Macaca mulatta: one gene and its partners. Each later gene encodes a partner of the first gene's protein in a complex. Links are inferred from orthologs where the notes say so. Each region holds a gene or a part of one and is shown on either strand. Other genes may lie near its edges.

Region 1 (3,203 bases):
CTTCTGTCTTCATCTCTTTGTCACCTGGTGACATTTCTGTGATACCTGCCTGCTGTGTCTAGCAGAGAGAGGAGACCAGGATAGATGGGTGACTCTCCTGGGTCCTTCCCACTTACAAAGCCCCAACCCAACCACTGCCTTATTACCCCTGAGACTCTGTCTTGGATTTGTACAAAATGAAAAGGTGAAAGTCACCCATCCCCACTTGCCCTGCACAGAGGCAACTGCTTTCTATGGTTTGGTCTTGCACCGCTTTGAACATAACCAGTCACTGATGACTTTCCTAGGAGCATGTGTTTTAAGCCTCCATGGCCGCCATTGTCAGTATCATACACCACATTCCTGTGGGCCTTCATGCCCACAAGTCTCCTGGATGATCTATTTCAATGTGACCTGGAGAATGTTCTGTGGACATCAGGACCGGGAGAAATTCCTCCAAAAAGGGCTCTGATGTCGAAGAGGTGTGGAAAACGACACACAATCTGTCTACCTGTTGGAAAGCCGCAGTGCATGTTAGCACATTAAAGACTGACAAATCCTGCAGTGGGTAGCTCTGTTCAGCTTATAACTCAGCTTTCCCCAAAAGTATTAGATCCCAGGCATCTCTTCCAGGAGCACCTTATTACAGCATTCATTCATTCAGCAAGTATCTACTGAGGTCCTATTTTGTGTCGGGCATTATGTTAAGTGCTGGGGATACTATGGTGAACCAGAAAGACAATCCCTGCCCACATGGAGCTGACAGCATGGTGGGAGAGACCATCAGTAAACAAGTAAACAAACAGATTAATGATTACAAATTGTGGAAAATGCCAAATAAGAAAAGACTGGGATGCTATGAGAGAACAGGCAAGATCTACATTTGACTGAGTGGGGGTCAGAGAAGCCCCTTCTGACATTTCCTCTCAGACCTAGAAGAAGAGAAAGCAAGGTGGGGAACAGCGACATGAAGTCTCTGCCGCAGGAGACAGCAGTGGCAGCTCAGGGACCTGAAGAGGCCAGCGTGACTGGGCAACGGGGAGGGCCGGCTGGCAGAATTGACTCAGGCCTCTTACTGTGCTGGAAATGCAGGTCTGTCTCCCTCTGTGGTAACAGAGGCTCATCATCAATGATGTCCCGGTTCTCCAGAGCTTGGGTAAGGGGATGTAGATGGGATAGGGATGAAATGCACTTTGACTAGCCACTAAGCAGGTAGCTAGTTTCCCCTCATGCTTTCTGAGTCCACATGACCTTTCAGAACCCAGGTTCAGGTCTCTTCTGCGGTCCGGCAATGACCCCTCTTTGCCTAGCCCTGGGCCAGGCATGCGTCACATACAGCCCTGTTGGCCAATCAGCCTCATCTGCCTGCAGGTGGCATTGTGAAAGGGGACGAGATCATGGCAGTCAACGGCAAGACTGTGACAGACTACACCCTGGCGGAGGCTGAGGCTGCCCTGCAGAAGGCCTGGAATCAGGGTGGGGTAAGAATAAGCCCCCTCCGTCCTTTCCTCCCTCACCTGCCTGCCTCAAACCCTGGGCTCTGCAGCCAGGCCTCACAATCAGGTGCCGCATCCCAGGGCAGGCATCTGGGGTCCAGGCAACACTTTGGTGACACCCACATACCCCATCCAGCCAGTGGTTTAAATCTGACAAGATGGGATTCAGAAAAATAAATGTCAATTCCTGACCTTGGAACCAAAAAGCCAGTGGCTCAAACAGACTCCAGAAGCCAGGGCATGACAGGTCACCCAAGAAAAACACTTAAGGTATTTTCTAAGTGCACACTGAACAAGAATCAAGAGAATTCTGGGGGCTACCAGAAAGCATTAACAAAAGCAGAGAACCCAGGATGAAGGAGGGGCTGGTGGGAATCTGCTCTGCGATCATTAGACACCCACCTGGGTCAGAGCCACTGCATAAGGTTGCCCAGGCTGTGCACTGCACAGCCTGCACAGCCTGAGGGGGTGCCCTTTTACAGACTGTAGTGTGAATGGTGCCTGCTCACGTTGTGCAATGCAAAACCTGTGCAACTGTATGCAGGCAGCCGAGCCTGAGGTATTAAGTTCAGTGCTGAGGAAGCTAACCAGATGGTCCTGGGACCCACAGGAAGGGATGTGGAGAAGAGAAGACTCACGGGTAACATGATGACTATCTTTGATTATCTGAAGGTCTGCATTAGGGCAGAGGGAGCATAAGTGTTCTCTCTGATTCTTGAGGGAAGACCTGGATTGGATGGAGGGAAGTCCTGAGGGGGAGAGAGAGAGATTTCAGCTCAATATTAGGAACTAGCTCATGGTAGAGGGGCCCAGTAATATTTCTGATACTTTTCAGGGGATACATCCAAGCCAAGGAGGGAATGAGGGGCAAGGATGGCAGTAAAAGGGATTCAGGTGTTAGAATCAAAAAGCTGGTCCAGAAGTCCCCCACTTGGTTGTGCATCAGAAAGTGCATCGGAATTACCTAGAGAGGTTGTTAAAAGTACTATTTCCCAGGACTCACCCCTGACTTCTAGGGGCCAAGTCTGTAAGTCTACACTTTTAAGAAGTTCCCCCAAGTGATTCTGAGGTTGCTGCCTGTCCCCGGTCCATAGATCGACATTTGGGAGCTGAGTGTCATTCGAGCACCTTGCAGCCCTGGCCTCTATAGTCCCGAAGCCTCAGAGACTAGAAACATCCTCAGACCATGGCAGTCCACAGTGGGGCCCACGTGTGCCCATGGGAAGAAGGTGCAGGCTGGCTGATCCTGGACCATGGGGCCCAGAAATGGGGACGGAGTGCCAGAGCAGACACACCATCCAACTGAGTGTGCCCCAGAGTCACACAGCTTCTCCCCACAGGACTGGATCGACCTTGTGGTTGCCGTCTGCCCCCCAAAGGAGTATGATGATGAGCTGTAAGTATGTGCAGCCACCTAGCCTGAAACCTCCTCTTCCTTTTCCAGAATCTCAGCCACCTTTCTCCAGCCCACCCCCAGCCTTCTCCCAGCCTGAAGGAATGGCCCAAGCACACAGCTTCTCATAGCCAGAGCTCCTAGAAAACTCCTGGACTAGAGCTTAGTCATTGTCCTTAAGCAGTGTCTGAGCTGCCTCCCGGGCAGTCTTGTCCAAATTCTTCTCTACTCTGGGGAACTGAGGCGTGAGGTCTTAGACCGAATAAGTAGTGATGTTGGGACAAAGACTCAGGATTGTTATTCCCCACTCAGAACTCTATCCCCTACCCCATTAG
Region 2 (2,336 bases), about 30 Mb from region 1:
TGCCCCAGGACCTTATCCGACAGGTCTCGCCTGATGACTGGAAGCGGGTGAGCATGGGGTGGGCAGCAGGAATGGTGGGGCCCTGAATGGGCCTCTGGGCACCCCAGGGGCCAAGGGGGCAGACGCTGGCCAGCAGCCCAGGGAGGTGTGTCTTGTGGTTCCTGTACTCGATGAGGCCGCCCACCCTTGTTCCTCTGCCTGCCTTATCCTTCAGTCTTCCATGCCAAGCACTCAGTGGCCAATTGGCAGTCATTTGCCCTGTCCTGGTTACCATGGTGACCTGCTTGTCCTTGATACCCTTTGGTCTGCCTGCCTGGGGGTGAGAAGGGAGGTCGGGAGTCCATTAGCTGCAATATGGGGAGAGCCCTTCACAGCACTCCAGGATGGGGCTGGAGTGGGCAGGGGTGGTGTGGGGAGGACTCTGAGCTCTGAGCAGGCCTGCCCTGAGCAGGCTTGTCCCCAGGACTGAGCCCAGCCCTGACCCCCCTGTCCCCATAGTCCATCGTCGCCTACTTCAACAAGCACGCAGGGAAGTCCAAGGAGGAGGCCAAGCTGGCCTTCCTGAAGCTCATCTTCAAGTGGCCCACATTTGGCTCAGCCTTCTTCGAGGTGAAGGTACACCATGGGCTTCTCAGAACAGAGGAGGAGGGGAACAGGGCATTGAGAAGGCACAGAGACTCCTCCCCAGGACTGTGGGAAACAGCCATGGCCTTGGACACCTGCCCTGGTGAGGGAAGGAGGGCAGTACCCTCAGCCTTGTCCCAGCTCAGCGTCTTAGCTGGGCTAAGTCCTGGGGACAGAGGGACCAAAAGCTCAGCCTGGCAGTGGAGGCAGGCGTGTAAACAGGCCGGGGTAATGGAGGACGGCCTATGCTCTGACAGTGGGGAGCCCTCGCCCAGGTGGCGGAGCTCGGGAGGTTCTGCCGGGTCTGAGGAGGCCTCCTAGAGGAGGTGATATCTGAGCTTTCCAGGGAGACCCTGGAAAGAGTGCTCCTGGCAGGGGTCCCGCATAGACAAAGGCCTGGAGGCGTGAGAACTCAGGTCTGGGAAGGAAATGCAAGTAGTGAGGGCAGGAGGCAAGAGCAGGCTGTAGAGAGCAGCAGCTTGCCAAGCAGGTGAGAGGCTGGGTTTCCTGCAGCGGTGCCTGCCTTGGAGGGTTTTCAACCCAGGTGACATGGCCAGAAAGCCTCTCAGGCTGTGGGTGGAGGAGGGGTCTGAGGGGCACAACAGAGGCAGGAGTATGGTGAGGAGGCTGGTGTGAGAGGACAGATGTGGTCTTGTCACACAGCTAGGATCGGAGGCCTTTTGAGAAGCTCGGCTGTGCGAGAACAGGTAAGTAGCTGGAGGCAGATGCAGGGTTCAGGAGGCTTTTTAAAGATGAGATGCCCTTGGGCTGAGAGGGAGGACAAAGCAAAGGATGGCCTGGGGGACCCATGAAGGGATGTGGGGCAGCACTGAGGCCCAGCGAAGGTGGAGGCCATGAGGTCATGGCAGGGCCGTCAGCACCACATAGGCAACAGGAGAGGCTGACTTTATCCCAGCCGGGGCCAGGTTTCATTCCTTTCCCCAAACGCTTTTCTTGCTCTGGGCCCCCATCTGATGCCTTCTCATCTTTTTTTCTAGCAAACTACAGAGCCAAACTTCCCTGAGATCCTTCTAATTGCCATCAACAAGTATGGGGTCAGCCTCATCGATCCCAGAACAAAGGTGAGCAGGGATAAGAAGGCAAGTGGGGGTGGCCTTCTCTGCCTGAACCTCAGACACAGTCCCGGAACAAACCCCGCAAGCCCTCCTAGCCATCATCTATCTCCAGACTCATCCACCCATCATGCGACTTCAAAAGCTGTCAGCGTTTGCTGGGACTTTACCCAACATTTGCTCCACAAAAATTGCTCTCCTGAAGTTACTAACAAACTCCTTCCTATGGAATCTGAGCTCCTTTTAGTACTTGGCCTTTCAGTATCACTGGATGCTCTGCCCATGTGGATTGTGGGGCCGGCTGTGCAGGGGTGACTGTGCATCTGTGTTTCTGGGCCAGAGCAGCCCGACTGCACACCCAGAGGGTCTGACTGGACAGGTAGTGAAGAGGGCTCGTGACCACCATCTGTCCATTGGCTTCATGCGTCACACATTCCTGGCTCTCCTCTGTGTTTTGGTCATTCCTTCCTGGACCCTTTTGTGCCTGCTCCTGTACGCTGTGTTCCCCAAGGCTCTGCCCTGTCTTCTTCTTGACTCCCTCCTCAAACTCTCCCTGGGCCATCTCATTCAGGCCACAGTGTCAGTTGCCTTAGGCCTCCCAATTTCCCAGTTCTGGCCCCAACTACCCCTACCCAACAG
Region 3 (3,406 bases), on another chromosome or scaffold:
CTCAGCACCTGGAAGAATTCCTGCCTATCTTTAAGAGAGAGCAGATTGATCTAGAAGCTCTGCTGCTCTGCTCTGATGAGGACCTTCAGAGCATACAAATGCAGCTGGGTCCCAGGAAGAAAGTTCTGAATGCTATAAACAGGAGGAAGCAGGTGCTACAACAGCCTGGGCAGCTGGTCGACACCAGCCTGTGATGGAGGGTTTTGGCCTGGAGCATTGGGGTGATGCTGTGGTCTGCTGGCAGCACTCCAGGCAGCACCCCCTCTTTACCCAATGCCAGATCACTGGGAATGGATTCTAGGGCATCGGAGATGCCTACTTGAGAGAGAGGCCCAAACTTTACTCTGGGAGGCCCATCCAAATAAATCTCCATGAGAAACTTGAGGAGACTTCATAACAAGAAAATGGCATTTCTCTTCAGTTATCTTATGTGTGTGTGTGTGTGTGTGTGTGTGTGTGTGTGTGTATTTTTTTTTTTTTTTTTTTTTTTTGGAGATGAGGGTCTCACTCTCTTACCCAGGCTGGGTTGCAGTGGTATGATCATAGTCCACTGTATTCTCAACCTCCTGGGCTCAAGTGATTTCCTCCCACCTCAGCCTTTCAAGTAGCTGGGACTACAGGTGCACACACCCACACCTGGCTTATTTTGTATGTTTCAGTAGAGGTGGGGTCTTACCACGTTGCCCAGCCTGGTCTCAAACTCCTGACCTCAAGCAGTCCTCCCACCTCAGCCTCCTAAAGCATTGGGATTGCAGGTGTGAACCACTGTACCCAGCCTATCTTTTTCATACTTTTGAATAAAGAAAGGGTCATATGCGTGACAGGAAAATGAAAGAAACTTCCTTTACTTTTCTATCTCTGGATTTAAAATTATAATCTCATGTCATTATCCTGCTGCTTGCTTTCTGATCCATATAACCTGGGAATTCTAATTCTTTTTCTCTCCTGAGCTCTATGACTTTGCCTGGTGGTAGAGACTAAAGTTCTTTCCTGGCCTGAGGCTTGATGCCCAACTTAAATGCATCTAACCCTTTAACAAATGTGTACATGTTTACAAGTAATGGAAATGCATCTATAATACTCCTGCCTGAGAATAGAGACAGAGTGGCAGTGGGGAGAGTGAAGAAAGAAATAGAATACAGAGGGTACTTGTTGTTGACTGACTTGTGTCAAATTCATATGTTGGCACTCTAACCCCTAATGTGACTGTATTTGGAAATAAGGCCTTTAAAGAAGTGATTAAGGTTAAATGAAGTCATAAGAATGGGACCCTAATCCTATAGGACTAGCGTCCTTTTTTCCTTTTTTTTTTTTTTTTTTTTTTGAGATGGAGCCTTGCTCTGTCACCCATGCTGGAGTACAGTGGCATGATCTCAGCTCACTACAACCTCTGCCTCCCAGGTTCAAGCAATTTTCATGCCTTAGCCTCCTGAGTAGCTGGGATTACAGGTATGTACCACCACGCCTGGCTAATTTTTTGTATTTTTAGTAGAGACAGGGTTTCACCATGTTGGCCAGGCTGGTCTTGAACTCCTGACCTCGGGTGATCCACCTGCCTTGGCCTCTCAGAGCGCTGGGATTACAGGCGTGAGCCACGGCACCCAGCCTAGGACTGGTGTCCTAAGAAGAGGAAGAGACACCTAGGTAGAAGGGACACAGTGAGGCCACGTGAGAATGCAGTGAGAAGGCAGCCGTCTGCAAGCTGAGGAGAGGGGCCTCAGGAGAAACTAACCCTGCCAACACCTTGATCTTGGACTTCCAGCCTCCAAAGGTGTGAAAAAATAAACTTCTGTTGATAAACTTCTGTTGTTGAAGCCACCCAGTCTGTGGCATTTTGTTACGGCATTCCTAGCAGAATAATACAGTCCTAAGTAAGAGGGGTGGGGGAGGAGACCAAGAAAAACACAGAAAAAAAGTCTGGCCAACTGCAACTAATGAGTTTTTTAAAGGTAAACACCTACTGAAACTTAAGGAAAAAAAAAAAAAAAACTAAGTTCTTTGGAGGGAAGATTTGATCGTAAAAGGAAATTTCACATTTTCATACTTATTATGTACACATGGTTTATTTACTGTTGTCTGTCACCATTGCTGCATATCCGAATACCTGTAGGTTCCATGATAGAAACTGACAACACTTGGCTCACTCCTGTAATTCCAGCACTTTGGGAGGCCCAGGCAGGCAGATCACTTGAGGTCAGGAGTTCAAGACCAGCCTTGCCAAAATGGCGGAAACCTATCTCTACTAAAAATACAAAAATTAGCCGGGCCTGGTGGCATGTGTCTGTAATCCCAGCTACTCCAGAGGCTGAGGCAAGAGAATCGCTTGAACCCAAGAGGTGGAGGTTGCAGTGAGTTGAGATCACACCACTGCACTCCAGCCTGGGCGACAAGAGTGAGACTCCATCTCAAAAAAAAAAAAAAAAAAAAAAAAAAAGAAGAAAGAAACGAACAACACTGCTGCTGACATTTTTTCAGTGGCAATCCCAAATTCAAACTGAAACCCCACTGAATAGCTAAGCTTCATTAGATCTCCACAGCCTGACTTACATCAAGTGGAATTTACTGTTGCTTCTGGATATAATACAGATACAGCTGTTTATCTTCAGTTTGCTTTCTGATGCACATCTGTTTGGGTTACTTCAAGAAGCATCATGGAGGATTCAAGTTTAGGGGAGGATACAGATGCTCAAATCTGATGAACAATTGGCTTATTCTTCCTTAATGAATATATTCAGAAAGCTTGTTAGCCATTGAATAAATATGTTGCATTAGGGGATGATTGTTTACAAATACCATATCTTGTGGAATAAACTGAAGTTGTGCTTGCCTTCATTAATGTGCACAGAAGCAGTTGGCAAATAGAAAGCGCTCAGAAAAGTTTGTAGTCTGAGCCTGCCACTATTATATTTCATCATCACAGATGCCAGAATCCCCGCTTCACCTATTGTCTGGAATCTGCCTAATGAGATACTTGCTCCCCGTCCTGCCCTAACTACATCATAGCAAGAGAGCCATCACTCAGGTTAGTAGAAATGAACTTGAACATTGACTCTCATCCCTTTTTAGGAGATGTTTGTCCCTAAGGGTCTCATCAGGTACCTTTATGCTCTTCTTGGGGGTTCTTTTCTTTTATGATTGACAGAATTAATAGGTGAGGGTTCTCCAAAGGTCTCAGCATCAGGGATGTAGTCTCTCCATCACAGAGTATTGTTATATAATAAAAAAGGTTTATACCATGTTATAAGAGGTTATCAATGTTCTAAGAATTCCAGATCTTTCAAACTAAATACCAACTACAGGGGACTAAGAGAAGATGCCAGAGCAATATAAAGGCCTTGATGAGAGACAAAGACAAGAGGATTATGAACCAGGACGAGTTCAAGTACTCAGTGATCTCAAACTTCCA

Evidence for each region.
Region 2: the proteins of USH1C (region 1) and MYO7A are in contact, whole or in part, in a crystal structure (PDB 5MV9), measured with the Homo sapiens proteins. The link is inferred for Macaca mulatta from reciprocal best matches to the Homo sapiens genes USH1C and MYO7A. Residues at the interface, in NP_001284693.1 of Homo sapiens: Glu450, Pro456, Ile457, Val461, Val462, Ser463, Tyr466, Glu467, Lys479, Gly480, Pro522, Tyr526, Asp527, Asp528, Glu529, Leu530, Thr531, Phe532, Phe533; in NP_000251.3 of Homo sapiens: Phe1946, Val1953, Ala1976, Lys1995, Lys1996, Trp1998, Gln2017, Pro2020, Lys2021, Arg2024, Tyr2026, Ser2112, Ala2113, Phe2114, Phe2115, Glu2116, Val2117, Lys2118, Ile2128, Ser2161, Gly2163, Asn2164, Thr2165, Tyr2166, His2168, Leu2181, Glu2183, Thr2184, Ser2185, Leu2186.
Region 3: USH1C (region 1) and ANKS4B share a complex: the UniProt entries of both Homo sapiens proteins name them as parts of the IMAC/intermicrovillar adhesion complex. The link is inferred for Macaca mulatta from reciprocal best matches to the Homo sapiens genes USH1C and ANKS4B.

The regions. Positions count from the first base shown.
Region 1 is NC_133419.1:47,967,760-47,970,962, forward strand, and holds part of USH1C (harmonin), read left to right. Parts: intron 1-1,350; coding exon 1,351-1,460; intron 1,461-2,815; coding exon 2,816-2,871; intron 2,872-3,203. UniProt on the Homo sapiens protein: Anchoring/scaffolding protein that is a part of the functional network formed by USH1C, USH1G, CDH23 and MYO7A that mediates mechanotransduction in cochlear hair cells. Required for normal development and maintenance of cochlear hair cell bundles.
Region 2 is NC_133419.1:77,624,907-77,627,242, forward strand, and holds part of MYO7A (unconventional myosin-VIIa), read left to right. Parts: coding exon 1-47; intron 48-498; coding exon 499-615; exon of another isoform or gene 616-727; intron 728-1,622; coding exon 1,623-1,706; intron 1,707-2,336. UniProt on the Homo sapiens protein: Myosins are actin-based motor molecules with ATPase activity. Unconventional myosins serve in intracellular movements. Their highly divergent tails bind to membranous compartments, which are then moved relative to actin filaments.
Region 3 is NC_133425.1:21,174,158-21,177,563, forward strand, and holds the end of ANKS4B (ankyrin repeat and SAM domain-containing protein 4B), read left to right. Parts: coding exon 1-194; 3' UTR 195-2,790; downstream 2,791-3,406. UniProt on the Homo sapiens protein: As part of the intermicrovillar adhesion complex/IMAC plays a role in epithelial brush border differentiation, controlling microvilli organization and length. Plays a role in assembly of the complex.